Linked DNA regions of Struthio camelus. The protein of the gene in region 4 interacts with the protein of the main gene of each other region in a pairwise test. Links are inferred from orthologs where the notes say so. Each region holds a gene or a part of one and is shown on either strand. Other genes may lie near its edges.

What was found.
Region 1: the proteins of RBPMS (region 4) and FOXS1 interact in a two-hybrid assay, tested with the Homo sapiens proteins (2 studies listed by BioGRID and IntAct). The link is inferred for Struthio camelus from reciprocal best matches to the Homo sapiens genes RBPMS and FOXS1.
Region 2: the proteins of RBPMS (region 4) and HEYL interact in binary tests that used the Homo sapiens proteins (3 or more experiments, as listed by UniProt). The two-hybrid records come from large-scale screens. The link is inferred for Struthio camelus from reciprocal best matches to the Homo sapiens genes RBPMS and HEYL.
Region 3: the proteins of RBPMS (region 4) and PIN1 interact in binary tests that used the Homo sapiens proteins (3 or more experiments, as listed by UniProt). The two-hybrid records come from large-scale screens. The link is inferred for Struthio camelus from reciprocal best matches to the Homo sapiens genes RBPMS and PIN1.

Annotation. Positions count from the first base shown.
Region 1 is NC_090959.1:18,560,306-18,567,019, forward strand, and holds FOXS1 (forkhead box protein S1), read right to left. Parts: upstream 1,756-6,714; coding exon 505-1,755; downstream 1-504. Other genes in the region: interferon regulatory factor 4-like, read right to left, coding at 3,429-3,569, 3,677-3,795, 3,885-4,280, 4,630-4,731, 5,065-5,161, 5,708-5,811, 6,362-6,551, 6,709-6,714. UniProt on the Homo sapiens protein: Transcriptional repressor that suppresses transcription from the FASLG, FOXO3 and FOXO4 promoters. May have a role in the organization of the testicular vasculature.
Region 2 is NC_090964.1:8,092,875-8,100,402, reverse strand, and holds the start of HEYL (hairy/enhancer-of-split related with YRPW motif-like protein), read right to left. Parts: upstream 3,008-7,528; 5' UTR 2,726-3,007; intron 2,104-2,725; 5' UTR 1,786-2,103; intron 1-1,785. UniProt on the Homo sapiens protein: Downstream effector of Notch signaling which may be required for cardiovascular development. Transcriptional repressor which binds preferentially to the canonical E box sequence 5'-CACGTG-3'.
Region 3 is NC_090972.1:5,062,715-5,070,102, forward strand, and holds the start of PIN1 (peptidyl-prolyl cis-trans isomerase NIMA-interacting 1), read right to left. Parts: upstream 3,018-7,388; 5' UTR 2,917-3,017; coding exon 2,859-2,916; intron 597-2,858; coding exon 396-596; intron 1-395. Other genes in the region: FBXL12 (F-box/LRR-repeat protein 12), read left to right, coding at 4,642-4,701, 4,819-4,950, 5,355-6,128. UniProt on the Homo sapiens protein: Peptidyl-prolyl cis/trans isomerase (PPIase) that binds to and isomerizes specific phosphorylated Ser/Thr-Pro (pSer/Thr-Pro) motifs.
Region 4 is NC_090945.1:5,907,813-5,915,173, reverse strand, and holds the start of RBPMS (RNA-binding protein with multiple splicing), read left to right. Parts: upstream 1-4,349; 5' UTR 4,350-4,432; coding exon 4,433-4,495; intron 4,496-7,361.

The DNA.
Region 1 (6,714 bases), on a different chromosome or scaffold from region 4:
GGTGACTCAGCCGGTGCCTCCTCACCGGCAGCCGCCCGGGATGATTCAGGTCCCAGGAATCCCGCAAAGCGGCAGCCGCTCTCCCGGCCGGCCGGGCCGTTCCCAGGGCGGCCGAGCGGTGCCTGGCCCGGCCGGGTCCCCTGCACCCCGCGGCGCCCGCGGGCGCCCGGCAGCAGGACGGCTCGGAGCAGGGAGGGAGGGCGCCCGTCCCAGCGCAGCCCCTCGGCGCCCTGCCGAGCCCCCTCCGGGGAGCTCCCGGGGCGCGCGAGCAGGGCCGCGTGCTGAGACCGGTGCTGCTCGTGGCACGTGCGGCCCGACGCTCGCGAGCGGTCCCGGATGCACGGCGGCAGCCTCGACGCCGGGCGTCCTGGCCCCGGGGAGGCCCCGAGCCCCCGCTCCCCCAGCCCGCGCCGGGCGCAGAGACGACAGCAGGCAGCGCTTGGGACACGAGCTTTATTCCTCCCGGGCCCCGGCCCCGGGGCAGCCCGCGGGGCGCCCAGTCCGTCACTCGAAGAAGAACATGCCGGGGCTGCGGTAGAGGCAGGGGGGCAGCCCCAGCGGGTACCCGCCGCCCCCGCCGCCGCCCCCCGGCCAGGGCTCCTTGGGCTCGGCCGCCCGCGGCCCCCCGGCCCCGCAGGGCGGTGGGCGCGGGGCGCCGGGGGCCGGCGCGGCGGCGGCGGCCAGCAGCTGCTCCAGCGCCGCGCCGCACGGCTCGTTCACGCAGAAGCTCAGCGCCTGCACCCGGCACTGGTAGCTGCCGCCCAGCGCCTCGGGCCCCGCGCAGCCCAGCGAGCCGAAGACGGGCAGCGCCGGCGCCTTGTAGCCGTCGCCCTCGAGGAAGCAGGGCGGCGGGGGCTGCCCGGCGCCCAGCAGCGGCCCCGGGAACACGGCGGGCACCGGCGCGAAGGGCTGCCCCAGCCCCAGGGCCGGCGGCTCCTTGCCCGGCGGGGAGGCGGGGGGCGGCGGGGAGCCCGGCGCCACGTCCCGGAGCTCGGCGGGCAGCGGGGCCGGCCGCTCGGCGGGCAGCGCGTACTGACCTGGCCGGGGCGGCGGCGGCGGGGCCGCCGGCAGCCCCCCGAAGGCAGTCTCGGCGGGCTGGCGGGGGGCCGGCGGCGCCTCCGGCGGGTACGGGCAGGGCGGCCGGGCGCGGGGCGGCAGCCGGCAGGGCCGCGAGCCGCCGGCCAGCTCGTCGAGGCTCAGCAGCCGCCCCGCGGCCGCCGGCGAGGGGTGGCCGCCCTCCGCCTCGGCCCGCTCCGGCCCCGGGGCGGCCGGCGGCCCCCGGCAGCGCGGCGCCCGGGGCGCCTTCCCGCGGCCCCCGTCGCCCTCCGGCGCGTCCCGCGGGCCCCGCTTCCGGGTGAAGCGCCGGCGCCGGCGCAAGAAGCTGCCGTTCTCGAACATGTCGTAGCAGTCGGGGTCGAGCGTCCAGTAGTTGCCCTTGCCCGGCTTCTTGTCGTCGCGCGGCACCTTGACGAAGCACTCGTTGAGCGAGAGGTTGTGGCGGATGCTGTTCTGCCAGCCCTGCTTGTTCTCGCGGTAGAAGGTGAAGCGGCCCATGATGTAGCGGTAGATGCCGCTGAGCGTGATGCGCTTCTCCGGCGCGCTCTGGATGGCCATGGTGATGAGGGCGATGTAGCTGTAGGGCGGCTTGGTGGCCTCGCCGGCGGCCGGCGGCTCGGGGCCGCCCAAGGGGCCCGGCTGGCGGGGGGGCGGCGGGCGGCTCAGCGCCGAGCCGCCGCGCGGACGGTCCGGCTGCATCCTGCCTCCCGGCCGGTGCCGGCCCCGCCGCCGTCCCGCTCCGCGTCTGCCGCCCGACCCCGCCGGCGGCCCGTTAAAACCCGCCGGCGGCCCAGCCTCCCGCGCGGGCCGGCGAGGGGGCGGCGGGCCCCTCCTCTCCGCCGCCGCGGGGCCGCCCAGGGCGGAGCGGGGCTCCCTCGGCCGGCGCCGGGCCCCGCGGCCGGACGCGCCGCCGGGGCGCCCGTGGGCACCGGCCCGGCACCGCCGCGGCAGGGCCGGCGCCGGCGGGCAGGCGGGTGCCCGGCTCGGCCGATGCCCCGGGGCTCGGCGCCCGCTCCCCCCGCCCGGCTTCCCCAAACCCGCTTCCCACTTTCCGGGTCGCGCGGTGGGAAAGTGCCCCATGCACCGGCTGCACCTGGGGCTCATCCTGCTCCTGCTCGCGCCGCTCGGCCCTGGGCAGCGCTCCCTGCCTGCAGCGGGGTGCTGAGCGGGGTGAAGGCGGCAGGATGGAGGCAGCGGAGCCCCGTTCCCGGCCGGCCGGGGCTGCCGCCCTCCGTCCGCCTCCTCCTGCCCCCGGCGCCTCGGCCCCTGCCCCGAGCCTGCAGTTTGTGCCGTGTCCCGCACCGCGCCGGGTCCCCGCACCGCACGGGGTCCTGCATCGCGCCAGGTGCCCCCACCGCACCAGCAGCGCACACGCAGTGGGTCCCGCACCGCACCGGGTCCTGCAGTGCACCCGGTCCCCGCGTTGCGCCAGCACCCCGCATCGCATGGGGTCCCGCACGGCACCGGGTCCTGCATCGCACCGGGTCCCACACCACGGGGGGTGCCCGCATCATGCTGGCACCGCACATGGCACCGGGTCCCGTACCACGCCAGGTCCCTGCCCCACGCCAGCGCCCCGCACCACGCTCTGCCGCCTGGGCACATCCCTGCCATGCTGCCGCGCGAACCACATCCCAGGAGCCACCTCACCCCGGGGGAAACTGAGGCACGGGGCAGCGAGCCCCTTGGGGAGAGGCTGCCGGCTTGTCGGCAGCTAACGGGCCGTCGCTGCTGCCTGCACATCCCGCCCGGCGTCAGGAGCCGGAGTGCGAGATGGGTCCGACCCAGCGCGGGGGCAGAGGGTACGGGAGGGTTTGGGGCGCGGCGGGCGGATCCTGCTGCCCTCCCAGACCTCAGCCGACAGCACCGGCCCGCTAAAGCCGCCCGGCGCTGGGGACGCGCCAGAAAGCCCAGCTCCGGCTAGGAGCGCCGGGTGCCTGCCGACCCCGCGCTCACCGCCGCAACGCGTGCCACCGTGCGCGTGTCCCGGGGCAGCGGTGACCCCCCCCGTCCCCTGACACTCGGAGCCTGCGGTACTAAAACACCTTTATTTCTAACGTGCCCGAACGGCGGGTCCCCGCGGCGCCAAGGCAGAGCGGGCGCCTCCCCGCCTGCGCCGAGGGCGCCGCGGCCCCCGCTCACGAAACAGAGAAGCCCGCAGCAAACCGAAGCCCGGCCGGGATCTCCGACAGCTTCCAGGGAATAAATACGGCGGTGCGCGGCTCCGGCCCCTGGGGACGCCGCGGCCCGGCAGCGCGCCCCTGCCGCGGGGTCCGCGCCGCGTGCTGCTCCCGCGGCCCCGCGGGCGCCGGCGGGGCCGGGCGCTCTGGGCGCGGGGCCGGCGCGGCCCTCCTCTCGCGCTGCTGCGGGGCTCAGGGCTGGCAGAGCTGCTTCAGGACCTGGAGGACGTGGTTGGAGGCGCCGGGGGCGCACGGCTGCGAGGCCTCGCGCAGCAGCTGCGGCCCCATGCGCTGGGCGTGATGGAAGAGCTCCCGCGCGAACACCGGCTCCACCTGCGGGGGCACGGACCGCCGGGAGCACGGGCGCAGGCGCGCGTCCCGTCCCGTCCCGTCCCGTCGGTCCCGCGCTCCCCTGTCCCCCCACCCCGGCGCCTACTCACGTGGGCCATGATGAGCTTCTGGAAGTGGTGGCCGGCGCTGGTGGGGTACTCCTCGCCGAAGCACAGGTTGATCTGGTACTGGGGCGAGGGCTGCCCGTGGCTCAGGTACCCCCGCAGCTCTGCAAGACGCCGGCCCCGTCAGCGGGGCCGAGACCCTCGCCGGCGGCAGCGCGGCCCCCCGGAGCCGCAGCAGCGCGCGGGCACTTACGCTGCAGGAACTGCTGCGTGTCCAGCAGCTTGTAGGTCTTCTCCCGCTCGAGCTTGTTGGGCCAGTCGCTGTGCGGGGCCAGCGGCCCGTTCCAGTACACCCTGCCCTGGCACTGGCGCTTCATGAAGACGCCCTCGGGGGCGACCCAGAGCAGCACGCCGCGGTCCAGGTGGGGCAGCAGCCGCTCCAGCACGTCGGTCATGCTGGCCACCCGGCTGTTGCCGCTCAGCGCCCGCGGCGGGGGGAACTGGATCTGCTCCATGCACGAGGGGCCGTAGAGCCGCTCGCTGTCGGCCGGCACGGCGCGGGAGGTGATGCGGCAGCCTTCGGCCGTGCGCGTCGTCAGCTCCTTCACCAGCACGTCGCAGTAGTAGAGGCGGACGTGGAGCCAGCAGTCTGGGCGAGGGGGGGTCAGCGCCCGGGACGCCCAGCGAAGGAGCCGCGGTGGCTCCCGAAGGAGCTGGACAGGAGGCCGGGAACCCACCGGAGCGCCCGGCGCCCCGTCGCGCCCGGTTGCCAAACGCGCAGCAGGGTCCCTTATGGGAGCCCAGGTCTGCTACACCCCCCCTTCAGCAGGGCTACGCGGGGGGGAAGCCGGGGTTCAGTTCGGCTCAGACCCGGAGGAAGCCCCGATCCCGGGGTGCTTCTCGCCCGGGCCGGGGCCGGTGCCCGGCTTGCAGCGCCGGCTCCGGGCTCGCGGGGAAGGGGCGTCCCTGGGGGCGGGGGGCGCAGCCGCGGCTCCTACCTGAGTGGTTGATGTCCTCGGCGGGGACGTAGGACGGGGGGCCCGGGAGGAGGTGGCCGGGGGCCGGGTTCCAGCCGTAGAAAACGCCCCGCACGTGGTATCCTGGGCGGGGGCGGAGGGCGGGATGGCAAAGGGGCCCTGGCGGCCGCCCGCCGGCTCCGCACCACGCGCCTCCGCGGCGGCTCTCCCGCTGCCGCTCGTTTGCTGGCTCTCGTTAGAGCCCGCCCGTGCCGGAGCGGGCGACTGGCTCCGGGGCTGGCGGCAGGGAGCCCCCGGCCCCGTCCTGCTGCTTCCCTTCCCCTGGGCGCTCCCGGGCGCCCGCAGGACACGGGTCCGGATCGGGAGCCGCCCGCTGGGGCGAAGCCGCCCTTCGTGCCCTGGGAGCCGCCCGCGCGGGGAGCGACAGGCTCAGGGAGAAGGAGGCTCTTCCCTTACCGCGGTCCGCCGGGTGGCCAGAGGCCAGGGGCAGCGGCGGCGCCGTCTCCGTCGCGCCCTTCCGGCTCTCCCCTTCCAGGTTCCCCGCGGCGCTGCCCTGCGCAGGAGAGCGGCGCCGGTGAGACAGGCCGGGGCCGGAGCCGGCAACGAGGGGAGCTGAGCTGGCTCCTGCCCCGCTGCCGGCCCCCCACCCCGCGGTGGCAAATCCCGCGGCCGGGGGCACCCGCGACGACGCTCGGGAGTGGGATGAACGTGCTGCCGTAAGGCTCCCGGAGGCGCCCAGGACCGCGGCGGCACTCCCACAGGGGCTCAGCCTGGGACTCGGATGGACACGGCAAACCCCCAGCCGGGAAAAACGGATGCGCAGGGAAACCGATGGATGGAAACATCAGTGGGCTACGAGCCCTGGGAGAAACCCCGCAGGGCACGGGGGACGCGGGGCAGCGGCGGAGCCGGGGAGGCCGGGTGCCGCGGTCCCCGAGCGCAGCCGTCCGTGGCGGAGCGAACGTGAGCGAGACGAGCAGGGACGGACAGGACGGGCCATACGGGGGACGGGGCGAAGGAGCAATCGACCGGCGCGTGGGAGCACGCGGGAAGGGGAACGGCTGACGGGCGAGGGGGCATTCGGGCAGCCGGCTCCCACCTCCTCTGGCCTATAGCTAACGGCCGTGGTGGACGATGCGGCGCCCGGGGGCTGGCTCACCCGCTGGTCCTTGCAGGCTGGCGACTCGGTGCTGCCATCCTTGTCTGCAGAGAGCATGGGAAAACGCGCTGACCTCCCGACGGAGAGCAGCCGCGGGAGCAGGAGCGGCCGCCTGGGAACGTGCCTGGCTGCCAGGCGAAGGCTGGGGCTCCGCGCCCCCCCTTGGCCGGGATCCCGGGCACAGCAAACCCAGCTCCGACCGCACGGCAGCCACCCGGTGCAGCCGGAGGAGCTGCCCCGTGTCCGGATGCCCCCCGGGATTGGCTCCTCTTGGGAAGGGGGAGCGCTGGAGGGGCTTTGCCCCAGCAGCGGACGGGGAGCTAACGGAGAAGCCAGGCTGTGCGAGGGCGACGTGACTCTGCCCAGCCAAGGCACCGGCCAGGTTTGCTCCTCAGGCTTCCTCCCTCCCAACCCGGCTGCTCCCTGCACCGCTGGCTGCGGACCAGCCTGGCCCGGGACACCGCAGAGGAAGAGACCGGGGAGGAAGGCCCAAGGCGGTGACACCCGTGGGGCACAGGGCTCGTACAGGAACGGCAAAGACACCAGCCACGACTCTGAAGCAGCCCGGTCCCAGCAGAGGCCCCAGGGCCCTACCTGCGTCCCGGGCCCCGTCGGACACGATCTGATAGACCTTGTAGGGCTCGGAGATGTCCAGCTGGCTCCGCTCGGGCACCTCCTGGAAGTCGGTGCTCTTGTTGAGCGCGCAGCGGAGGCGCGTTTTCCAGGTGGACGGGTCGGCCTTGTCCGTGCCTTCGTGGTACTTCCCCTTGTAGACGGCCCAAGCCTGCGGGGCAGACGGTGCCCTGCGGTCCGGGGCTGCCGGGGCGCTGCCCGCGGCCCAGCTCCGGCCGGAGCGGCGGGCGGCCCCGGGGGGCGGGTGGAGGGCGCGGAGCCCCGGCGGAGCCCGGGCGGCCCCGGGCGGCGGAGCCCGGGCCCGGTACCTTGAA
Region 2 (7,528 bases), on a different chromosome or scaffold from region 4:
TTTGGGCAATTTTGAGTCTGCTCTCCTCCTTCCTTTCCAAAATGATTTCAGTTAAATATATATGCATCTCCAAACCAAACTTCCCATAAATATGTGTTTTTGAGAGATTAATGCTTTTTCCACTGATAAAACCATTTAAATGGGATCCAGAGATTGGTTATTTCAGGCTCTCGCTCACATCACGCCGAGCCTGAACCAAACGGAGCCCAGACCTGCCACAGAGGAACACTTTTCTTCTCCATTAGAAAGGAATTCACTGTCCAGACTCAGGCTTTTCTGGGCCTTGCCTAAGCATCATTATCTGGGTTCAATTGAAGTGTAATTGGCAACATGTTTTTCTAGGATTACACTTCATTATGAACAGAGCAGGGGCCCTGAAACCCACTTCTCCTGTAATCGGATCCATTTTCCAGCCTGTGCTCCTGGAGAGTCATTTATAATCGCCCCCAGCGAGCCCTGGGGGATTGCGAGAGCCATCTGAACCACCCCGGGATTAGCGCCGCGGAGCAGCCGAAACGGAGCCTGGGCTGAGCCCGCTCCCCGCTCGGGGCCATGGAGACGACAGGGGAGGATTAAAAGGAATCAGCTGCGTGATCGGGGAGCCAGGTGCCAGTAACCATCGCCCGTCGGTCTTGCGCGGGGGAGCGGGCTGCCCTGGTGCAGGGGAAGGGGAGATGGGCTGCAAGGACCACCGTGGGGAGGGTGCAGAAATCAGGTTTCTCCCACCTGCTTTTCCCCTCCAAGCACTCAGGGCAAGCTATGCCACGGCAAGCTTGTGCACAGCCTGGCCCCAAGCACAGTCCCTTGGATGGTGGGTCACCAGCCTCTGCCCTTGCCCGGGGTACCGCAGGGTTGGCTCGGCCAAGCAAGGGTGTTTATTAGAGGCAATCTCTCCCCTCACCCTGAACTGTCACCCTGGCCCGGCAGTCAGGGCTGTTTTCCCTCCTGTACGAACTCAGCAAGCACCACGGGACGCCTCCCCCGTGGCCCACCCTCTCCCGCGTCCCCGGGGCCGCGCGGGACGGCTGCCCTCCCCGTGCCGCCGCCGGCGCTGCATGCTCCCGCTCAGACCTGTGGGCAGGGCAGACGTGCGGGAGGTGGGCTGGCCTGGAGGAGACTGCTGCGGCTCTCCTGCTGCGGGTCGCGGAGCCAGCTGGTCGGCGGCTAGCCCCAGCGCACCTACTTCTAGTTCGCCGCAGCAGGACTCGGCAAACGCGGCCCGACCCGGGAGGGAAAGCTCCGGGGAGCGTGCTGCGGAGCGGCAGCCAGGAGCTGCGGTCCCGGCAGGCTGGCGAGAGCTGTCCCCGCCACGGCTGGCTGTGCCCTTACGTGGTGGGAGCCGTTTCCCGAGGATGGGTGTCACGAGTACGAGGCCAAGCGATCCATCTCACCCAGCGCTAACTGGCTACCCCGCTTTGGAGGCCAAGGAATAAGTGAGCTTGCAAAGCTTGATGTCCCTTCCCCGCAGCAGGAAAAACTCTCCAGGGCAGGGCGGAGGGTGGATCCCTGCCAGGGACCTGGGATTGCCCAGGTTTGCCTGTGCCAGCCCTCTCCCGGGGGTAAAGGACTCCAGCGCGAGGCTCCTCAGCCCGGAAGGACGGTCAGCCCAGCCACCCACCCCTGCGCTGGGACCGTGGCCTCGCTCCTCACTCCCCTCCCGCCTGCTGGGCTCTGGGAAATGTCCCCGGAGAGCGGCCAGCTGTGAAAAGCTGCAGCAGCTGGAATGTGGGAGGGAGGGCAACGCTTCTGGAAAGCGGGAGGCAGCGAGCGGGACGTATCTGTTACCTCCTGGTGAACTGACACCTCTGATTTAACCCCGTGCATGCCTGGAATGCCCTGTCCGCACGTCTTCAGTCAACATCACCTCCTAACCTCAGGTCCCACCGCTGGCTGCCAGATCCACAGCTGTAATTTCAAAAGCGGAGGCCTCGCAGGGATGCTGGACAGGATTCCTGGCTGCAGCGCTGCGGACAGGCTGTCTTGTTCTGCGGCTAAGCGGAGGGATTCATCACAGAGGGGAGAAACAGGCAGGGCTTCCAGGAGGTGATTCGGGATGAAAGCGTGTAGGTACGAATACGCTATCACCTCCGTGTTTTGTCAGATCTGGAGGGCGGCCAGGAGAGGATTGTTTGCCGTGGCTCCGGGCCAAGCCACAGGCACTACAATTGCGAACCCCCCCCCCCGCCCCGCTTCCCCGGCCCACGCAATTCAGAGCCAGCCCAGCCGACGGCTAGGGGCAGTCCGGGGGAGGGAAAAACAACATTTTCCCACAAACCCATGGCCTCACCCTTCCCCAGGCAGGCACAGGGCAGATCTGAGCCCGGCTGCCACCCGGTGCTACTCTGGCACGGCTGGGCTGCGCGCTCCCGCCCATCACCCCGCGGCCGGTCTGCGCCCAGCCCTGCGGCCGGGAGCGCGGCCCGGCCCGGGGGCCGCGGGCTGGGCGCCGCCGGGCTGCACCTGCCGGGCCCTCGGCCCACCGTGCCCCGGAGGCGCTGCTGCCCCCACGGGGGCTCCGGCCGGGCAGTGCTTTCCCCGTCCATAAGGTAGACGGCCATGGTGCAAACCCACCAGTCGGGCACTCGGTGGCCAGCAGAGAAGCAGCAATGAGTGAGAATTAACGTTGCACCAACCCCGGTGACAGCGAGGGTTACGGGCTCCCCCAGAAGCCCAAACTGAGGTCCGGGCTCCCCGGCGGCTAAACGGACAGGGCCCGGGAACTTACTGCTGGCGGACACGGGGCTGATCCTCTCTCACGTTGGGGTGCTGCAGAGGGTGACGTGGTCTGTGTGACCGCCGGGGCGTCTTGGCTCCCGGCTGTCCCGGGCAGCCTGAGGTGACCTCGGAGGTGCCAGTCCCGTCTCTCTGGGCGCCGGGGCGGGAGGCGCTGGAAGGACGCGGGTGGTGGATGCTAAAGCAGCAACGGGAGCCGGCTGGGAAAACCCATCCGCTGGTGCAGCCAAGGCCTCGGCCTTGCCCCGGGCCGGTCCCCGGGGGCTGGGGGAACACAACGCCTTTGTTTGCGACTCTGCCAGCCCTCGGAGCCCTTCCCTCGCTCAGCCCCAAAACAGCAACCCTTCAAAAGGCCTGGCCTCCCCCTCCCCGTCCCCCAGCAATGCTAATGTGCCAGGCCTCTTCCCATGAACCCTGGGAGAGATCAGGCTGGTAGACAGTTTCACCACTTGTTAAATGTGTGTTTAGCGATCTTGCGAGTAGACAAGAACAAACACAAACAAGGCGGGCTGGAGAGCCCCTGCCCCTCCGCCCTGCCCCGGCCCACCGGCCCCAAAGCCTTTCTTCTCTAACCACTTCAAACTTTCATTTCTTCTGAAGCCACAACAAGGCACACTTTGTAAAGCAAATGAGTAAACAGCAACTTTCAGCTTAAGGGGAAAACAAGGAGGAGGGACTGTTTTTAATTACTGGATTTTAAAAAGGGCTTTATTCGGTTAATTGCTTTCTGTTGTAAAACGCTCTTCTGCCCGCAGCCCTGGTTGTGGCTGCGTCGCTGCTGGCCAGATGGCATTGCAGAGGAAACGACAGCACGCGCTCGGTGCACGCGCGCCTTTGACGTTCGCAGACACCCCCCCAAGCCCTCCCAGCCCCATGGAAATGACAGGAGGCCCCAGGTTCGCAGACACCCCCCCCAAGCCCTCCCAGCCCCATGGAAATGACAGGAGGCCCCAGGTTTCGCTCCGGCACGACCACCATGGTGGTTTGGCATGTCCAACCCGCCTCACTTCCGAGGGACCGGAGGAAGGGCAGTCGGCACGCACAGGAAAGCCCCTGCAGCGTTTCAAGGCCCGTTCCCGAAAGGGCTGATAGCTGTTGATCGCCCTGGCTGCTGCCTGTTCCCTCCTCAGTCTGGAGGAACGCGGCATGTTCGTGCGAGGTGCCGCGCGCAGCTCAGCCCTGCCCGACAGGGCGCCTGTCGCCTCGCAGCGCTGCGCCGCTTGGCACGGCAGCCAGCGCGCGCGCGCGCAGGCACGCGAACACAAACGCGTGCGTGTGCCTCGGCGCAGCCGCGCAGCGCCGATTCCAGCTGTACCACTGATGAGCGCAACCAGCTTGGGAGATACCCCGAGTCCCCGCGGAGAAGGGGAAGTTGTCACTGCGCTAGGGACAGATGGTACCGGGAAGGGAGCAGGAGAGAGGAGGCAGCAGGAGCCTTTCCTCCAGCTGGACCGGCCTCGGGATGCAAAAGGATCGAGCGCAGGCTTGGCCTTAGGCACCCGGCGCCTGAAAGTGCCGGGGAGCCCCGGAAAGCCCGGGCTCCTCGCGGCCGCCGGCAGCTACCGAGGCTCCCGTCAGCGAGCGGCGGGCACGGGGCAGATGCCTCGCGGGCGGCGCGGAGTCAGCGCAGGGGAAGGTGGAGACAGGTTTTGCTGCCAGACAGAGCTGGCGAGAGCACGTGCTCCCTCCTTCCTCGCCAGCCTGGAAGGCACCGCGAGGGAGCGCGAGCACGCGCCGGGGGAAGCAGGGACAGGAAGGCTCCAGGTCCTTATTTGATAAGGAAAGGGATCATCCGGGGCCCTGCACCTCACCCGCAGGCATCTGTTGGCCCAAGGAAGATGAGCTTCAAGCACCCAGAGGCCGGGTGAGCAGCCAGGGTCCGCGTTACCGTCCTGTGACGAAACCCGGCCTGCCGGAAACCCGGCTCTCCTTCCTTGCACGGCTGCGTAAAGTACCATGCTGGCACGTGCAAGGTGTCGTGGGCCACTTCGAACTGGTCACTTCCTTCCCAAAAAACAAACACAGGAGACGAGAGCATCAGCTCTGGCACGAGACAGCAACCAGCCCTACCCAGGGAGTCCCGTGGGAGCAGCGCCCGCAGGCGGGCCGCGCCGGAGCGCCCCGTGCCCGCGGCGGCAGGCCGCTTTCCGGCCGCCGAGCGCGCCGCGGCGGGTGGGTCTGTTCCTGCCAGCAGCCAGCAGCTGGTGATGAATGCTCACTTTCTCTAATTGAATAGCAGGAAGTTAAATCTTGTTTCTTTGCCTTTCAGGCTGTCAGCTGGAACAATTGCCCACCTGTGGCACCACCCCGGGGATATAAATAAGGAACAAAACACAATGCTGTCAGAGGAACGGACTGCGTTCCCAGAAGATCTCCTGATATCGCATGCCATATTGCGCGCCCGCACCGGAGAGAGGGAGCCATAGCTGCGGCCCGGCGGGCACGCAAGCACCGGTGCGCGTTTCCAGGCAGCCACGGAGGCCGGGCAGCGTGGGAACGGGCTGCAGGGCAATGGGAGCGCATCTGCGGCGGGCGCGCAGCCGTGGCACGCCGGGCGGCGCGGGCGCGAGGGGCTAGCGCTGCAAGGAGCAGCATGCACACGCCGCAAGCGTGCACAGCCACGCAGCAGTTGTTATACGCGCTCCCTTGTGGGTGCTAACAGGCGTGGCGTGCGACACCCACCGGGAGATTTACTGCCGAGGCCAAAATCCTTCCTCCGCTCGCGGCCCCTCGGCTCGTGCTGGGGCTGCCCTGCCTCTCCAACAGCCCAGGCAGGGAGGCAGGCGGAGGGGCGCCCTCACCTGCGAGCTCCCGCGTTTTGCGGTGCTCTCTGCCAGGCGGGCTGCGAACCCGCGAGCTCCTTCCCGGGGCCGCGCTTCCCCCCGCCGCCTGCAGCGCTCGCGTCGGCAGTTCGCACGCCGAGCCCCGCTCTCCCCGCTGGGATGCTCCCAAGGCAGCAGCCGTCACAGCTGGGCCGAGCTTGACAGTTAAGCACAGCTGGGAGCCCAGCTGAGGAGGAGGAGGAGGAGGAGGAGGAGGAGGCACGGAGGAAGCCTGCTGCGGGCGGCGCGGCCCCTCCGTGCACGCCGGGGAGGGCAGCGGGAGACACCGACGCGCGCAGGCCGATGTTGTTGCTGCCAGAGGAAATTATTAATTTGCCGGGAACAAAGTCGGCAGTCAAAGACCCATCCTGCCCGAGCAACAAAAGCCTCCGCTCCCCCCTCAGCCTCTCCGCCCCCCCCCCCGCCCCGGCCCCACGTGCGGCCCCGACGCGGCCGGGCAGGGATGAAACGGAGGCCCGGCTTCACCCGGACGCCGAGGGCTTTCGCTCCGGCAGCGGGGGCCCCGGCAGACATCCCGCCGGGCCTTCGCCAGTCGCTGTGGCAACAGGCCCGGCGCGGGCGCCGCTTCCCTGTTTGTTTTCCCCCTGTCTCCGCCGCCGCGGGGGCGGCCATGGCCTCCCTCCCTCCGGCTCCCCGAGCGGGGCGCCGGGGCGTTCAGGGCCCGGCAGCCTGAACGAAGCCAGATCCCTGGACACATTCCTGTGGGTTTTTTTTTTTTTTAATTTTCCCTTTTCCCTCCCCTTTTTTCTTTATTCCCCCCTCCCTTCTCCCTTGCTTGGCACCAGCTAAAGGATTCAAAAGGAAGCCAGGCTTGGCAGACATGGGGGGGAGGAGGGAGTGGGGGAGATGAAAGAAGGCCTCTCTCCCGCTTTCTCTTCCAGTTCCCACACTCAGCCCGGCGCGGAGCGCTCCTAATGATTCCCAGCCGCACCTGGGGGAGGCCGCCCGGCCGCCGCGGGAGCGAGGGGCCTATTTACACCGCGGGCGGGAAGGGCCCCAGCCTGCTGTGGCCACCCTCCTGCTCGCCACCACTGGGCCCTGCCTCAGTGCCCGGGGGGGTGCCCGAGACAGCTGCCCCGAGATGGCCGCCCTGCCTCAGTGCCCAACATGGCTGCCCCACCTCAGTGCCCAAGATGGCTGCCCCGCCTCAGCACCCAACATGGCCGCCTCACCTCAGCACCACACCTGAGGCCTCAGCGCCCGGAGCCAGAGCTGGCACTGAAGAAAAACCCCTCCGTTCCCAGCTCGGCAGGAACCAAACGGGCACCCTTCCTAATGTGGCCACGCCGCACATGCCCAGCGGGCTGGCTGCGAACACGACAGCCCGGGCTTGCACTGAGGCAGAGGCGCCCGCTGCATCCCCGCACGCTCCCCAAATCGCACACTCACGGGAGCAGGGACGGGAGCAACGGGCGCCGCGAAAGGCGGCGATGCCCCCGGGAGCGGCGGCATCCGCCACCACCGTGCCACCCTCGCCACAGCCCTTCCCACCATCTCATGGCCCCGCCGGTGCTGAGACGAGCGCCCAACGCGCGTGACTTTCCGCCCCGCGTTCCTTGCGGACAGATGCGGCTCAAAACAAACACCACGCCGAGCCAGCGCGGACGGCTCTGGCTCCTGCAGTGACCGGTTCGAGTTTTCCTTGATTTATACTCCCTCCGAAGCAATTCCCCAGATAAAGGTCTGGCTGCAGCGCGGGGCGTTAGCAGGCCGTCTGGGAGCAGCGTTTCATTCCTCAGTGGTCCCATGTGTTTTGATTGGCATCGGGCCCCGTTTTGGGGGGGGGGGGGGAGGACGGCATGGAACCAGCCGACTTGTGCGTCCCCGGCCACAATCGCTTTATCTCGAGGAGGAAACCGCTGCTCCGAGCTCGCCGCCGGCCCCAGCGCTCCCGCTGACGGATGCGCCGACAAGGACGCGCCCGGAGCGCGTGCCGGGTCCGGCTGCGGGAC
Region 3 (7,388 bases), on a different chromosome or scaffold from region 4:
TGCAAAGAGTCAAATGACATATTAAACAAAAAGAGATGTTTAAAGAACATTTGTTTTAGCTTTAAATAATTACTTTATTTTTAATATAAAAATACACATTTACAAATAAAATACAAGCAAACCTCTGAAACAACATTACAAAAAACATAAGGGGAAGAAGGCACATGGGGTAGGACTATGTCATTTAATCACAGCCAGCAAATCATACAGCAAAATTGTTTCTCCAAGTGGCTATGCTACACGAAAGTCCATGTTCAAACCACTTGGCTCAAAAACTTTGCTTTAGAGAGTTCACGACACACTGAACCATTCATCTCAGGGTTCAGTTCTAAGCCTTAAAATGACTTTTCCCCTACAATAGTATCACTCTTTCTCTCTCTCCTGCATTTACTTGCCATTTATAAGCTCCAGTGCCTCATCTTTGGTCCGCGTGATCTTTTCCTGCCTCCACGATGAGGGTCTTCTGGACTGGTTGTGTTTCACCAAGAGATGTGAACATCGCACTTTGGTGGGCTCCCCTTGGCCATTCTTTCCGCTGCCGCTGGGACGTTCCCACTGGCTGGCATTTGTGATGTGGTTGAAGTAATAAACGCGGCCTGCAGACAGAAAGAGAGCGTCAGGGTTATAAAAAGCTCCTGTCAGACCCCTAGAACTAGCTTCTTTCAAGGCCCACTAGACAGATAAGACCAGATTTCTGCAAGTAGGTGAGACTGTGGTCGGCCGTGTTCAGATTATCAATGCCAGCGCAGTAAAAACATGGTATCGCACACAGTAGTTTATAGCTCTGTATACATCATTTCCTACACAAATGGAAACACGAGTTTAGTCAAAGCAACAGCTCTGCGCAGAAGCAGACTCCAGCAGCTCTTCCAATTTAGGGCAAGTCATGAAGCTCCCATAGATCAGGGCCAAAAGCACCCACTGCTCCAGTCAGAACAACAAACGTTCCCACACAACACCCTGCCGCTGCGGCCAGGGTTAGACCACAAGTTCGCCTATGTGAAGTGTTGATTATTCTTAAGAAAGCAAGGAGCGCAGTCAGCTCCCAGTCACGCGATGGCAACACATCCTCTAAGGAGGCACGCGGTAACACGGTGGAACCCTGCCCTTTTGCCCCTGCGCAGCTAGGGATCGGTGCTAGGTCTCTGGTGTGCGGATATAAGGTTGTATTTCACTCTAGCACTATCTGCAATGGTGAAACAAGGTAAAGCCTCTCGGTTAAGTGCATCATTTAGCACAGGCTGCAGCAAATGCAATAAATTACCCTTACCAAAGGTCCTGTCTTTGTATTGCTCAGAAAAGCCCAATTCCAAAATCACTTTTTGTTTCTACCAGAAAACAAGACCTCCCCACACAAAACGCTCATGCCTTCCCCCTCATAGCAGAAAGTAAAGTTCTGATTAAATCATCTATGAAAACACCACGTTCAGCACTAAAACAAAGCCAGTTAATACTGTCATCCAGTGACAGGGATGCACCACTTGCTTAAAGGCCTTCCAGTGTTGGCTCAGAGCTACATGTTCATTTATCTGCAATAATTCACAACTGTAATCAAGATGATTTCCAACTTCTATTGCAGCATTCATCTTAAAGCATTCCAGTGAAACCAGAGCCACAGAAGACTCACAAAAAAAGCCCATTCTGCCAGGAAATCGAGGGAGGGGGAATGCAACAGCAGTGGTTAACTTACTATGCAGTAGGAAGTCATGCTGTAGTGACAAAGGGCCCAATTCCCCGGTTGCAATCCCAACCAGTGCCATACAGTCATCCGTGTTTCTCCCTCCAGGAGGCCACTAACAACCCAGACTTGACAACTCCACACAATCACAAAGCTCCCTATCGCCAGGGCACTTCAACCATCGCAGTTTTAACAAAGAAGGCGTCACACAGACACCTCTTCCCTTTCCACGCTTTGCCTCCCTGGACTCATCTCCCCCACAGTCAAGCATGAGAACACAGCATCCTAAAAACTGCTTTTGAGCCATTAGGTCCCATAACATGGAAAGCTCTAACTAGAAAGGACAAAAACTCTGCTGAAAACGCCATCCTGACCAAGGACTTCTGCTCTCGAGCTACAAAGTCACAGCAGCCACACTGAAGGCAAGACATCCTGCATGTTCCGATGGGGGCTCTCAGACAAGGGTCTCGCTGGGCTCAATCCCCCCATCCCCAGGCCTCCCCGCCAGTTACACAGGGACGGAGCAGCTGCCAGCACCACCCTCCCCCCAGGGGTGCAGGGCCAGCACATCCCTCACCCCAACCCAGCTCCCAGAAATCACGCTCCATCTCCCCTTGTAGATCAACATCCCACTGGACATAGGAGCTGCCCCTCACCCCCAAAAGCCCAAACCCTCCCCCCAGGTCAGGCACCATCTTAGTCAAAGCAGCCCCAGAGTCAGGCACCCTTCAGGACCCCCCCCCCAAAAGCCTGAACTTCAACCCCTCGAGAACCTCTCGAGACCCACCCCAAAGTCCAGCTCACAGCACCTGCCCCAGAGCCCCCATCTCTCAACCATCCCCCCCCACAGCCCAGACTACACCCTCAACACCCCCAAAATCCACCCCCCCCAACCAGGCCGCCTCAGACCCAATGACCAGGCCCTCAACACCCCCAAAATCCACCCCCCCCAACCAGGCCGCCTCAGACCCAATGACCAGGCCCTCAACACCCCCAAAATCCCCCCCGCCCGGCTACCCTCATAGCCCCCAACCAGCCCTCAACACCCCCAAAAACCCCGCCCCCCCCGGCCAGACCCCCCTCAGACACCCAGCCCCCCCCCGCCCCGGCCAGGCCCTCGCCACCCCCAAGGCCCCCCCGCCCCGCGGGGGCTCAGCGCCGCCGCTGCCGCCGCCCGTACCGGAGCTGCGGCTCATGCGCTTCTCCCAGCCCGCGGGCAGCTTCTCCTCCTCCGCCATCTTCCCTCGGCCGCGGCAGCTGCGCCTCCCGCACCGACCTCTCCCGGCCCGGCCCCCATTGGCGCGGGGGGCGGGCACGCCCCGTCCCCGCTCTGCTCCCATTGGCCCAGCCGTGGGCTACGTCCCTCCTTCGTGCGCGAGTCCTCAGCGCCATTGGCGGAAGCACGCACCATTCCGGCACTGATTGGCTGCGGGCGGGAGGCCGCATTGCTCCCGGAAGCGATCGCGGGGCACGTGACAGGAGGCCGGACGGCGGCCGCCGACGCACAAAAGATCCCAGAGCGCGCCCGCTTCCCCCCCCCCCCCCCCCGGCGCCCGCCCGCACCGGCCCCTCGAGCCGCAGCACGACAAGAGGGACACGTCGAGGGACATGTTTATTACAAACTAGCCAAAACACTCCCGAGAGGCTACAGCACATCTACTGCCTCCATGCACGAATGCGGGGCGCTCGGCGCGCTGGCCGCGCGAGGGGAACAGAGGGAAGGCATCAGCCAGGCCAGGCGGGGAGTGGGGACGGCGCGGCAGCCGCCGCTACTGGTAGTAGAGCTCCAGGTTCATGCCGTCGTGGATCTCATCTGAAGCAGCAAGTTAAGGTGGTTCTGGCGCAGGGCCCCCGACAAGCTTCCCCCAGCGCTAAGCTGCACCCCACGCTGCCTTTGGCTTGCTGTACAACGTCCCAAACCAAACAACACTTGTCAGGGACGTGCTCCACCCCCAGGGCTGCCAGCAGCGGGGAAGGAGGGCGAGCGCTGCATGCGCCCAGCCGCTTCCTCTCTGCTCACGCTGCCTGCTTGGGTTTGACGCGCGCGTTGTTCCAGCGTTCCGGCTGCGCGTCCGGTAAATGTTCTCGATCTCTTATTTAACTGGGAAGTTTCCCCAGAGAAACCTTACTGAGACTACCACAGCAAGAAGGATACAGTCTCCCAGCGTGACATGGTCCTTGAAGATCGTGTACCTGCAGTTATCGTGAAACGGAGATCAGTCTGGCACACGTGACCCCCCCACAGGTTAAAGCAAAGGAAGACGCCCTGGGAGCGGTGCAGCCTCAGCCTCCCCAACAGCCCTGCTCCCATCAGCCCCCTCATGGAGGGGCAGCAGCGGAGACCTAGCGTGGTTTTGAAGCCGCCCGTGACAGCCCGGCCAAGCAACGCTACCCCAAAACGGGCCGGGATTCCCCTCCCGGCTCCCCCAGCGCTAGGGCGCAGCCGGGGGCCGCTCGGCCGCACCCCAGCCCGGGCCAGGCGCCGAGGGGGCCGTTGGCCGAGGAGCGGCGGCCGCCGCCCGCCCCGCTCACCACTTCTTGAGCACGATCTTGTCCCAGCGGGTCCCAGTCTGCGCTGCGATCAGCTTCTTCAGGTCGCGGATGGAGTCCTCGGTGCTGGCGGCGCCGTTAAGGAAAGCGGGACCGGGAGGAGCCGCCGCCACCCCCCTCACCCGCCGCCCCCCGGCCCCAGCCCGGGGATACTTGCATTTCACCCGCACCTTCTTGCCCAGGCGGTCGTTGCAGACGACTTCGATCATCGTTCCTGAGGGAAGAGAGGCGCCGCCGGCAGCGGGGGCTGCGAGGGGGGGGCCGCGCAGAGGAGACCCGAGCAGGCCACTCCGCCGCCGCTGACGACTGCCCCGCCGGAAGCGGAAGTCGCCGCGCCGGAAGCGGAAGTCGCGGGTGCCCTCGCGCCCCGGAAGCGGAAGCGCGGCCGCCGGAAGCGGAAGCGGCCCGTTGCCATGGCGGAGGGGGCGCCGGGCGCCGGGCTGGCGGCGCTGCCCGACTCGGTGCTCCTGGAGGTCCTGGCGCTGCTGCCGCTGCGGGACCGGCTGCGCGCGGGCAGGTGCGGCCGGGCCGGGCCGGGGCCGGGTCTCGGTCCCGGTTCCGGCGGTGACCGGCCTCCTCTCTCCCCACAGGGTCTGTCGGCGGTGGCGGCGCCTGGGGCAGGACCGGGCGCTCTGGAGACACGTGGACCTGAGCGCGCACCGGGTGGGGGACCGGGGGCTGCAGCCGGGGGCTGGGGGCTGCCCGGGGCCGGGGGCTGCTCGGTAGGGACTAGGGGTTCCCGGGGACCGGGGTGGACCGGGGCTGCCCAGGGCCGGGGGCTGCTCTGTGGGGGCTGATGGGGGCCGGGGGCTGTACGGGGCCCGGGGCTGCCCGGTGGGGACGGGAGCTGCCCGGGGGCTGGGGGCTGCCCGGTGGGGGCTGGAGCCGGGGTCTGGGGGATGCTCGGTGGGGACTGGGGACTGCCAGGGACCGGGGGCTGCACAGGGCCGGGGGCCACCCGGTGGGGACCAGGGCCTGCCTGGTGAGGGCTGGGGTTGCCCAGCAGGGACTGGGGGCTGCCAGGGGCTGGAGGATGCCCGGTAGGGACTGGGGGCTGCCAGGGGCTGGAGGATGCCCGGTAGGGACTGGGGGCCACCGCGCGAGGCCTGACTCCCTTCTCGCTCAGGTCAGCTCCAGGACCCTGTGGCACCTGCTGCGGCGGCACCTGCGCGACGGCCTGCGGACACTGAAGGTGAAGGGCGCGCTGTGCTCGGCGAGGAAGCACGAGATCCTCTCTCCCGCGCTGCTGGCCGCCCTCGGGAGGCAGTGTCCCCGCCTGGGCCGGCTGTGCCTGGCCGAGGCCGACCTCCGCCCGCTCCCCTACCAGAGCATGCCTGCTTCCCTGAGGACGCTGGAGCTGAGTCACTGCGAAATCCCTGCTGCCTGGTTCCAGGGCCCTGCCGCGAGCGCCCTGCCCCAGCTGCAGCATCTCATCGTCCGGAACGTCCCTGCCTTTTGCGACCAGCATCTGCTAAACGTCTCCTCCCAGACTCATCTGAAGACGCTGACCCTGTCTGGGACCTACCGGGTAACAGACGCAGGGATTCAGAGAGCAGCGGTGTACTTGGGGGGGCTGGAGCGCCTTGTGCTGCGCCACTGCGTCATTACCGACTCCGCTGTTCGTTTCATTGGGCGCCATATGAAATGTCTCCGACTGCTGGAGATCAGCAATGCTTATTCCTTGACAAATGCAGGTTTGGCTTGCCTAGCGACCCTGAAGTGCCTGGAAACGCTCTGCCTTGACCTCTGTGATAAGTTCTCCCCTGATGCCATTGTTGCTTTGTGCCAAGCACTCCCCCAGCTGAGGAATCTCAATTTAGATGGGGCTCATTTTGAAGATGAGGCAATACATAAAATTCAGGCGAGTTTGCCTAACTGCAGCTTTTCACATACTCCTTGATACAGATTCTGAAGCAAGATGTTAACAGTTTAAAGTGGCAGGACGCTCGCCCTTCATCACCAAGCTTCAAATGTGCTTTTTTGGGTAATGATTTTTTTTTTCCTGGTAACAGTTGTATGCTCCCACTCAGGCTAAAACAGTGCTGTGAAAAGAGCCAATTTTCACATTGCAAAGTCATGTAAATAGCTTGGTGAGAACTTGCTTCTGGTGGGATCCCTCCATGGATCAGGCAAATTGGAAAGTCAGTGAATACGCAGCTGTTTACGTTTGGGAACCCCAGCAGTGAATTGACCAAGGGCTGACAGAGGTTTCAGAGAGTGAGCAAGCGAGTGAGCACACGTGTGTGTCCATATTTAACCTCTTCCTGTGCCCTGTTTCACCCCTGTGCTGAGCATCAGGCAGCAGTTCAACCAGCACAGAATTCAAGAGATGAAGTGAGATGCCCTACTGCCCCCCACCAAAAACAAACTACCAAAAAAAAAAAAAAAAGCTGCCCAAAACCTAGAACTCCAGTTAATATCTAACTTTGATTGCTCAACCACCCTGTGTGTACGTTCCTAACTATGCCTAGGAAGAAACACTTAAAAGGCTGCGCTTCAGACACGTGCTGCCAGAGTTGGTTTGTTCTCGGAACAGTTCGGGTGACCTGCTGCCCAGACACCGAGTGTTTTCATAGTTTGGGCTGTCTTCTTGCTTTTATCTTCCTGCCAAGTTTAGTCCTGAAAGTTATTTTTCAAAATGCAGAAAAGTTTGGTTGCAGATCTTCCTAATTGCTTGTTCCCAAAAGCATCACATTCCATTTGTGGAGAGAAAGGGCACCCATACGTGCTCCTGGGCATCAGAGGGGGCTGCTGTTACCTCTCCTTGTTTTGCTGGGCTGTGCTACCGCGAGCAGCCACATTGCCTTATTGTCTTGTATTGTTCACATACTGCTCTTACTCAAGATGTTGTAACAGCAGGGACGTGACAGAAAAAACTTACCTGACATTGCAACTGAAGCTTTGTGACATTGCTGTTCTGGACTGTTGGGTTACCCAAGGATGCTGTTTTTAATCAAATACTGTATTTATTAAATAAAAGTGTTTTTGACTGTTAGCCTTCCTCATGCTATTGGAATATTTTGACTGAACTGTCATAAGTGTCTTTGTTAGAATATGCAAGTCAGGCAACCTTTGTCACTGCACAGTCGGTGTGCTCAGGTGTTAACAGCTGAAGACCTGCTGCCCTGCGGTAAAGCAGAAGGGAAGAGTTGCACACGAA
Region 4 (7,361 bases):
GTGCAGCTGGCAGAGCTGGTGTGCGCGGTGCTGCCTGGCGGGCGAGGAATGCCTGGAATGGTCTTGGAAACAGAGAAGAAAGAGGTCCTTAAAGCCACCTGCAGAAGCAAGCGGGGCTCCCCGCAGAACTCGCAGGCAGGCTTTCTTGGTCGAGCACATCCATCTTTCCCAGCCTGGGCCAGGTTTCCCAGGGAAAGCCCTTGCCCTGGTGCTCATTAGTGAGTCTGTGTAGGGCAGAGCAGCACCCCCATCTTGTGCCTGCTCAAAGCCTTGTCCCTCACACCGCCCTCTTCAGGGCTCCTTTTTCTCTCCCGAGTGGCCTTGTGCTGCTTAAGCGTTTGCACATATGTGAGAGACAAGGTGCAGCCAGACCTGCAGCTCCCTACGCTGTCAGCACTATATGCTTATGATACGCTGTGGGCCTTACAGCCAGCGATGGTACAGGTATGATAGAGGAAGCCATGGTACTTGACTCCTCTCCTATGAAGAAAGGCTGAGAGAGCTGGGCCTGTTCAGGCTGGAGAAGAGCAGACTGAGTGGCGATCTCATCAACATGTACAAGTATCTGAAGGGGGGGTGTCAAGAGGATGAGGCCAGTCTCTTCTCCGTGGTGCTCAGCGACAGGACAAGAGGCAACGGGCAGAAACTGAACCACAGGAAGTTCCACCTAAACCTGAGAAAAAACTTCTTGACTGTGAGGGTGACAGAGCACTGGAAGAGGTTGCCCAGAGAGGTAGTGGAGTCTCCTTCGCTGGAGATATTCAAAACCCACCTGGATGTGATCCTGGGAAATATGCTCTAGGTGACCCTGCTTGAGCAGGGGGGTTGGAGTAGATGATCTCCAGAGGTCCCTTCCAACCTCAACCATTCTGTGATTCTGAGATTCTGTGACTCCACCGGGCAGGGGGGGCACAGAGCCTGCCAAAGTGGCACGTCTTATTCAACAGCCGGAAACTGGTTATCAATACACAAGATTTCCTCCCTCTCATTTGGCTCTTCCTACAACTAAGTCAGCTTTTTCCAAACAATTATTCTCCATGGGATTGCAGAACTACTGACAACACTGCGCAGCATAGTCCGATACCTGCCTGTTTTTTCTTCACTTACCTGTAGGCTGTAAGAGACAGCAAGTGCTAGAAAAGTGGTGACACCCTCTCTCCTCTGACCGCTGAAAACTGCCTTCTGTTCAGCTTGCTTTTCAGCCCATTCACTCGGCGCTGTGGCAAGATTGGAGCACAGCTGCAGCTTCTATGGCCGTCTGCTGCACTTCTGGGGAGCTTCAGATGTGCACAAGTTTTCAGGCAGATGAATGTCACGCTGACCCATAGAGATGTTTTTCATAACTTTCCCTTCTACCTTTGTAAAATATGTTCTGCAGTTTTATCCCAATGCAGAACAAAACTGAGTGTTGGAAGGAACAGAATTTCTCGCAGGAGAGAAAGCAAGAGCCACTGTTTGTACTGGAACCCCAAACTTCAGCTGAGATGCAGGAAACTGTTTGCTACGGCATTCCCTGCTTGCAACTTTAATGCGGACGGATTTGGAACCGAGGATTTCAGGTAGAGCACGGCTTGACATAAAAGCGAGGGAACGTGCACTACAACTAATAAGATTTTCTCCTTAAACTTACAGGGATATCAAAAAGCTGGATTTGGGCCTTGAATTTCCAAACTGCGGCCCATTGCTGCTTGGAAACTGTGTGGCTATTCTCCAAAGCAGTCTAAATACGGGCTGCAAATATTGTCACAAATATGACAGTTTCCATCTAATTGAGGTAGACCCCGCCAAGTTTTCTTGTTCAGATGACCAGAAAGATCTTGCAGTTGAAAACAATGGAAGAGAAAGTAATGAAATCAGGGTGAACCGCGCGGACTTCCATATATGCCACTGAACTCAAATAATGCCTCTTACGTGCTTAGCAGCGTGGTTTCAAACAGGCAATTGAAAAAAAAAGACATGTTGGAGCTGGAAAAACAAAAAAGTTGCACCAGTGCAGAGCCCCGGGTGGTGGCTGCTGCGAGAAAGCACAACGTTCCTGCGGGTCCACGCTCGGAAGCGGTCATTTGAAGCCACCTATGAAAAAAATAAGCCTCGTACGCTAGCCTGAGTTGACCTGTTGGGCAGTCGTGGAAAAGCCTCTTTTCTGCTCACTTTTCATGCTCGCTTTCAGAGCTACAGGGGCCTGCTATGTCTTCACCTCGCAGGGGAAAGCAGGGAAGCAGCCTGGGTAGCCACCAAAGGGCCCCTTGGCCCAGCTAAGGGGCTATCAGTCGAGCGCCGCTGTCAGCAAAAGCGTTCCTCCGACAGCAAGCACGCTGCAAGTACGCTCGGCAAAACCTGTGGCGTGGCACGGGAAAGATTAAACAAATCTCTCCTTTCCTCCTCGAGCCACCTTAAATTTCATACCCTGTAGGACAACAGCGCCCTCAATAGCTGCTACAGGGGTTTTCTCCTCTCAGAGGTAAAGAAAGGCCAGGTTTCTTTCTTAACTCCCAGGCTTTCATTCGTATTTGTTCTGCTTCTTTGTTTCCTTGATTGCTTTTCAAGAAAGCTTTGAACAGTTAATACAATTCTGACAGAAACAGAAATGCTCTCTTATTACAGAGGCACCCAGAGGGCTGGTAAATATTACACTAGGCTTGTGCCTCAAAAGTGACTTTTTTGCTGAAAAAGCCCACCAGCCCATCCCAAACTTTCCATGGATAATGGGCCATTTCCAGGCCTATAAGGGCCCTATCCTAGGAAACCAAACATACAACTCCAGGAAGAATATGCTGCTAAATTTGTTCGGTTCTCTCCCCTGGGAGTGGTTTAAACCCAGCTGTTCCTCATGTCCTAAAAATGAGGCAAATTTTCAAAATCTCTTCCTCTGAGGTAAATTCCCAGCAACAGCCCTATTGCCGTGCAGCCGCTGAGCAGCTCTACACCATGTTTGGGGAGAAAGCAGCAAAGCACGGACGGTACACGACAGGTTCCCGCGGGATCCTGCACCCCCGGCTCTCTCCAGGGCTGATACTGATTTTGGGCTGCTCACTCACCTTCTGATAATGAACAGCACATACAGGTAAATCCAGCAGCACACTGAATTTATCCCAACGGCCCCGGCCACGATTTCTAACTGTGGTGGCTCAGGTTTTCTGACTGTAGGCACCGTCCTACCAGGAAGAGAGAGAGGTGGGAGACCAAGACACCAGTCCTCAAACGAATCCCGATTGCCTCTCTTCCCAGCATGGTGAGGTTGCACCTGTGCCACAACTCTGCAGAAGCCTGCAGACCAGGGGCACCGTCGCTCTGCTAAAAACCCCCCATCCCATCTTTTTCCCGGTGGTGAGTGAGGTCCCTTCTTTTTCCCCTGCTCACCAAGGTAACATGTTTTTTTTAGAAGTGCTCGGGCCTCTGCCTGCTCTTTCTGACCCTGAGGCTGCTCAGGTGGCTCGCAGGGCCACCTGCTATCCCAGCCGGACATCTCCCCGCTCCCGGAAATTCGGACCGCACGGCTAGTTTCAATCTAGCTCCCACCAGGACAAGTTCTGCTCTGTAGGGGAACATTTTTTGAGAGGTTGGAAGCTTGCCAGGTGACGTTGGGGGCATTTCGGGTAAGCGCTGCCACATGGGAGGGACACTTAGCCCCCCGGAAGAGAGGGGCTCGCGTCCCCTCGCCTGCCCAGCGCCGCGGGAGCAGCCTCCGCCCGCGCCCGAGTGGCCCCAGTGTGGGTAGGACGAGCGGCCCAGGGCGACGCGCAGACGGACAGCTGTATTCGATTTGGCCGCTCTCTCCAGAAAGGCAGGCTGAGCCTTGAGGACCGCGCGTGGCCCTCCTATCTGCTGATGGGGCCGTTTATCCCCCGGGGGCAATCCCGACCTCCGTTAAAACTTGTTTAGCTCTCCGTAGTCTAATCCCCTCGGCCAGCCTGCCTCCTCGGGCCTGGAGGGCTGCTCGGGAGGAGGCGACCGGCTCGGCCCCGCTCACGCCACGTGCTGCGCGAGCCCCTCTCGCTGCCGCCGCCTGACGCAGGCAGTTTGCCAGGTTCGCTGTTCCCCCCGCGGAAAGGTGCTACGGACGGAGGCGTTAAGCGTCAGCTCGCCTGGCGCGCACGGAGACGCTTTTAGGGACTTTTCCCCGAATGCCGGGGCAGGTTTTTGGAAATGAGCAGGGCCACCCCCCAGCCCCTTTCAGCATCTGATGCCAGACGACTGACGAGGGACGGGGAGCACAAGCCGGACGCGGCGACAAAACGCGACGAGCGTCGCCCCCAGCGCCTGGGCGGCCCCACGCGCGCGGCGCCCCCGCCCCCCACGCCGCCTTGGCCCCGCCCCCCGCCCTAGACGCCCCGCCCCCCACCGGCCCGGCCCCTCCCACCACCGCCGCCGCCCGCCCGCCCGCCGCCGCCGCCGCCGCCGCCGGCGGGAGCAGCCTGGCCGCGCACGCAGCATGAGCAACCTCCCCGCCGAGCGGGACGGCGGCCCCGCCGAGCCCGGCCTGCCCGAGGAGGAGGTAGCGGGGTCCTGGGGGGCGGCGTGGGGTGGGGACGGGGACTCCTCGCCCCTCTGCCGGGCCGCCGTGGCGGGGGGGAGAGGTGCGGCTGGAGCCGCGGCTCTCCGCGGAGGCGGCGGCGGCGGACGCGCGGGCTGTGACACGGGGGCATCCGCGTTGGCCCGGCCAGAAAGTTTGAAGGGGGCGGTGGGGGTGACCGAAACAGGGCAAACCTCTCGCATCGGCGAGCGTGAAGCCGGGGTTTGGGGTTTTGGGGGGGGGGGGTTATTTTTTTGTTTTTTTCCCCCCGCAAGCGTCCGGGAAGGGGTTATTTGGCCGCGTCGTCCCAACAAAGTTGAATTTGCCGGCTGAAGGCGGGCGGAGCGGCGGGCAGGCTCCGGCGGCGCAGGGCAAAGTGGTGCTGCTCGACCCCTTTGGAGCTGGGGCAGGAGGGCCTGTTTCCTCGGCCCCCAAAGCAGCTTGGGGGCCGCTGAAGGACGCGGAGAGGTTAGGGGGAGGGAGGCGTGTGGGGAAAAAATGCACCCCGGCCTTTTGTTGCAAGGCGTCGGACACCGTCAGGACCGTCCCTGCCCCAACCTGGTGGTGCTGAGCGTGGTTGCAGCTGAAGGAAACTGCTTTGGGACCGCGCCGGGCCTGTGTGGGCCAAGGGCAAAGGTGCTGAGAAAGGAGGAGCCGCGTCCCTAGGGCTTTGTCTTGCCCGGGGAGGGGTGATGGCAGCAGGTGCCACCAGGGCACGAAGAGAAGAAGGGGATCGGCCCCAGGAGCGTATCATAGCGGGCTTGGAGAGGGAGGACGGACAGGTGGTACCGTGCGGTGCTGGGTTCCTGCTCTGTGCTGCGAGCGTGGCTTTAGGAAGGGGCCGGTTGCTGGTGCTCGCAAGCTGGGCTCCTTTCCCACCATGGCAGGTCCTTCCCGCACCTGCCTCCTCCTGTGCCAAGCCGGCAGGTACTTCGCTGGCACAAGCTTATACCGGCGCCGGCTGGAAGCGCTGGCGCTTGGGAGTATTTGCGTAAGGACGCTCGGAGCGGGTTGCCTAGCCACTGGGTTGTGCATACCTCTCCCCTTCCTGGGAGGTCATGCCGGAGGGCTTTTCTTTAAACTTTGTGCCCTCCCTCTCCCCCCGATGCTGTGTTTTACCCCAAAAGAGGAAGAAGCAGACCCTGTCTTGAGGCTGTAGATCCTGTGCCGGGAAGGCGGGAGGTCGGGGCATGTGGGCTCCCACAGCAGGGAAACCCGCAGGCTTTCCGGAGGTTAAAGCAACGGTGCTGCGACGTGTGATGGGCCCCCGGTTTCCGTGCGGGTCTGGCCCAGAGCCTAAGCCGACGCTCGGATAAGTCCGGCCAGTTCTCCTTTGTCTTCCCGGGGCTCGCGGGAGTTGCTCCAGCCTCTCCTGGCAACGGGCAGGATGCGTGGGGCATCCCCTTCCCTGTCGCTCCAGCCCCGTTCAGCGCTGACTGGCGTGGGTGAGCCGCGGGTTGGAAGGTCCCGGCAGAGGAGCCTGGCAGGGGTAGAGCCGTTGGAAAAGAGGTCGCGTAGCTACGGCCGGGCGAGAACGGCATGTAAAAGAATAGACGGAGGCCTTATTTGGTAGCGGAGCAGCTCCAGGGAGTCCAGCCCTTGTCTCCATGGCCGTGCCAGCTCCCCCAGCGCGGCTCCCAGCACAGCGCGGCTGGGCTGGTGGAAACGCTGCTGGCGTTGCTGACTGTATCGTCCCAGGAGGTTGTGGGGGGCTCGGGCACGGGCAGGGGGCAGCCAGGGTGGGGAGAGAAAGGGTGGCACGAGCAGGGCTAGGCACCCCTGGGGACGCTTCCTAGCGGGAACATCTCCAGCAAGTCGGTAAGCTTTCCCTGCGCAGCCACCTCGCCCCGTGGTGGAGCTACGAAGACTTCCCTTTATCTTGTCAGGAACTGCCTGTGGTTCGGCGTCGCTTCCCATGTACTTGTGCTTCCCTCCCTCCTTTAAGAAATGCCCGGTCTCGAGGATTTGGGAGGAAAGCTCCAAGCAATGACACAATTGTGCATGACCTCAGGCCCCAGCCCCGGCCCGCAATCCAGCCTCTCTGTTGCAATCTCCCATCTGCTCCCTTGGCTTCTTGCTTTCTTTTGCTCACTTCCTCGTTCCAGCTTCGCCTCCGGAGCAGCTCCCCCACATTGTCCTCAGCCCTCGCTTGACTTTGTTTTCCCAAACACTGCTCCTCTCCTTGCTTTCCCTGCCTACCCCAGCAGTGGTTTTGTTGGTGATCTTGAGAAGCGGCTCCAGGTTGTGGAGCTGGAGGTCTGAGCGGAGGGAAGGAAAGCCCAGACCTCCCTGTCTGGAAGAGGTCTGTGCTCGCTCTCCTGCGTGGCCTGGTGCAGAGCATGGAGCCCTGTGCCTTCTCCATCCTTGGCGCCGTGTGGACCCAGGTGTGCCACACGCAGGCCTGGGACATACGCGGTGCCACTTGCAAAGCAAGTATCTCGGGCCTCATTGACTGAAGTCTTGTTTATGTCAGTGAGTTTTGTGGGCTTGTGACATGCTTACACAGAGCCCGGTAATCTAAACCAAACCGAGGGAACACTCCATTAATGGAGAGAGTATTTACGTAAGGGCTAATCCGCGCGGGGCTGGAATGCACCCCGCTGCAGGGGAGCAGGGGCAGCGCCGGCCAGGGCTCCTCGCCTCTCCTCCTCCTGCCCCAGCTCCGTGTTTAGGGCGCTTTTCCCTTCGCTGGGAGGAGGGGGTGAAGTTCCACTTTCCGTATTTTAGGGCTTTATCTCAGCCCTAAGCCAGCGCGGTGGCCTGGAACGGATTCATCTGCCTCCTCCTCCTCCGGGCCCGGCTCTGCTGCCACGGCGCTCCCCTCCCCTCAGCCCCCCCATGCTGCGTG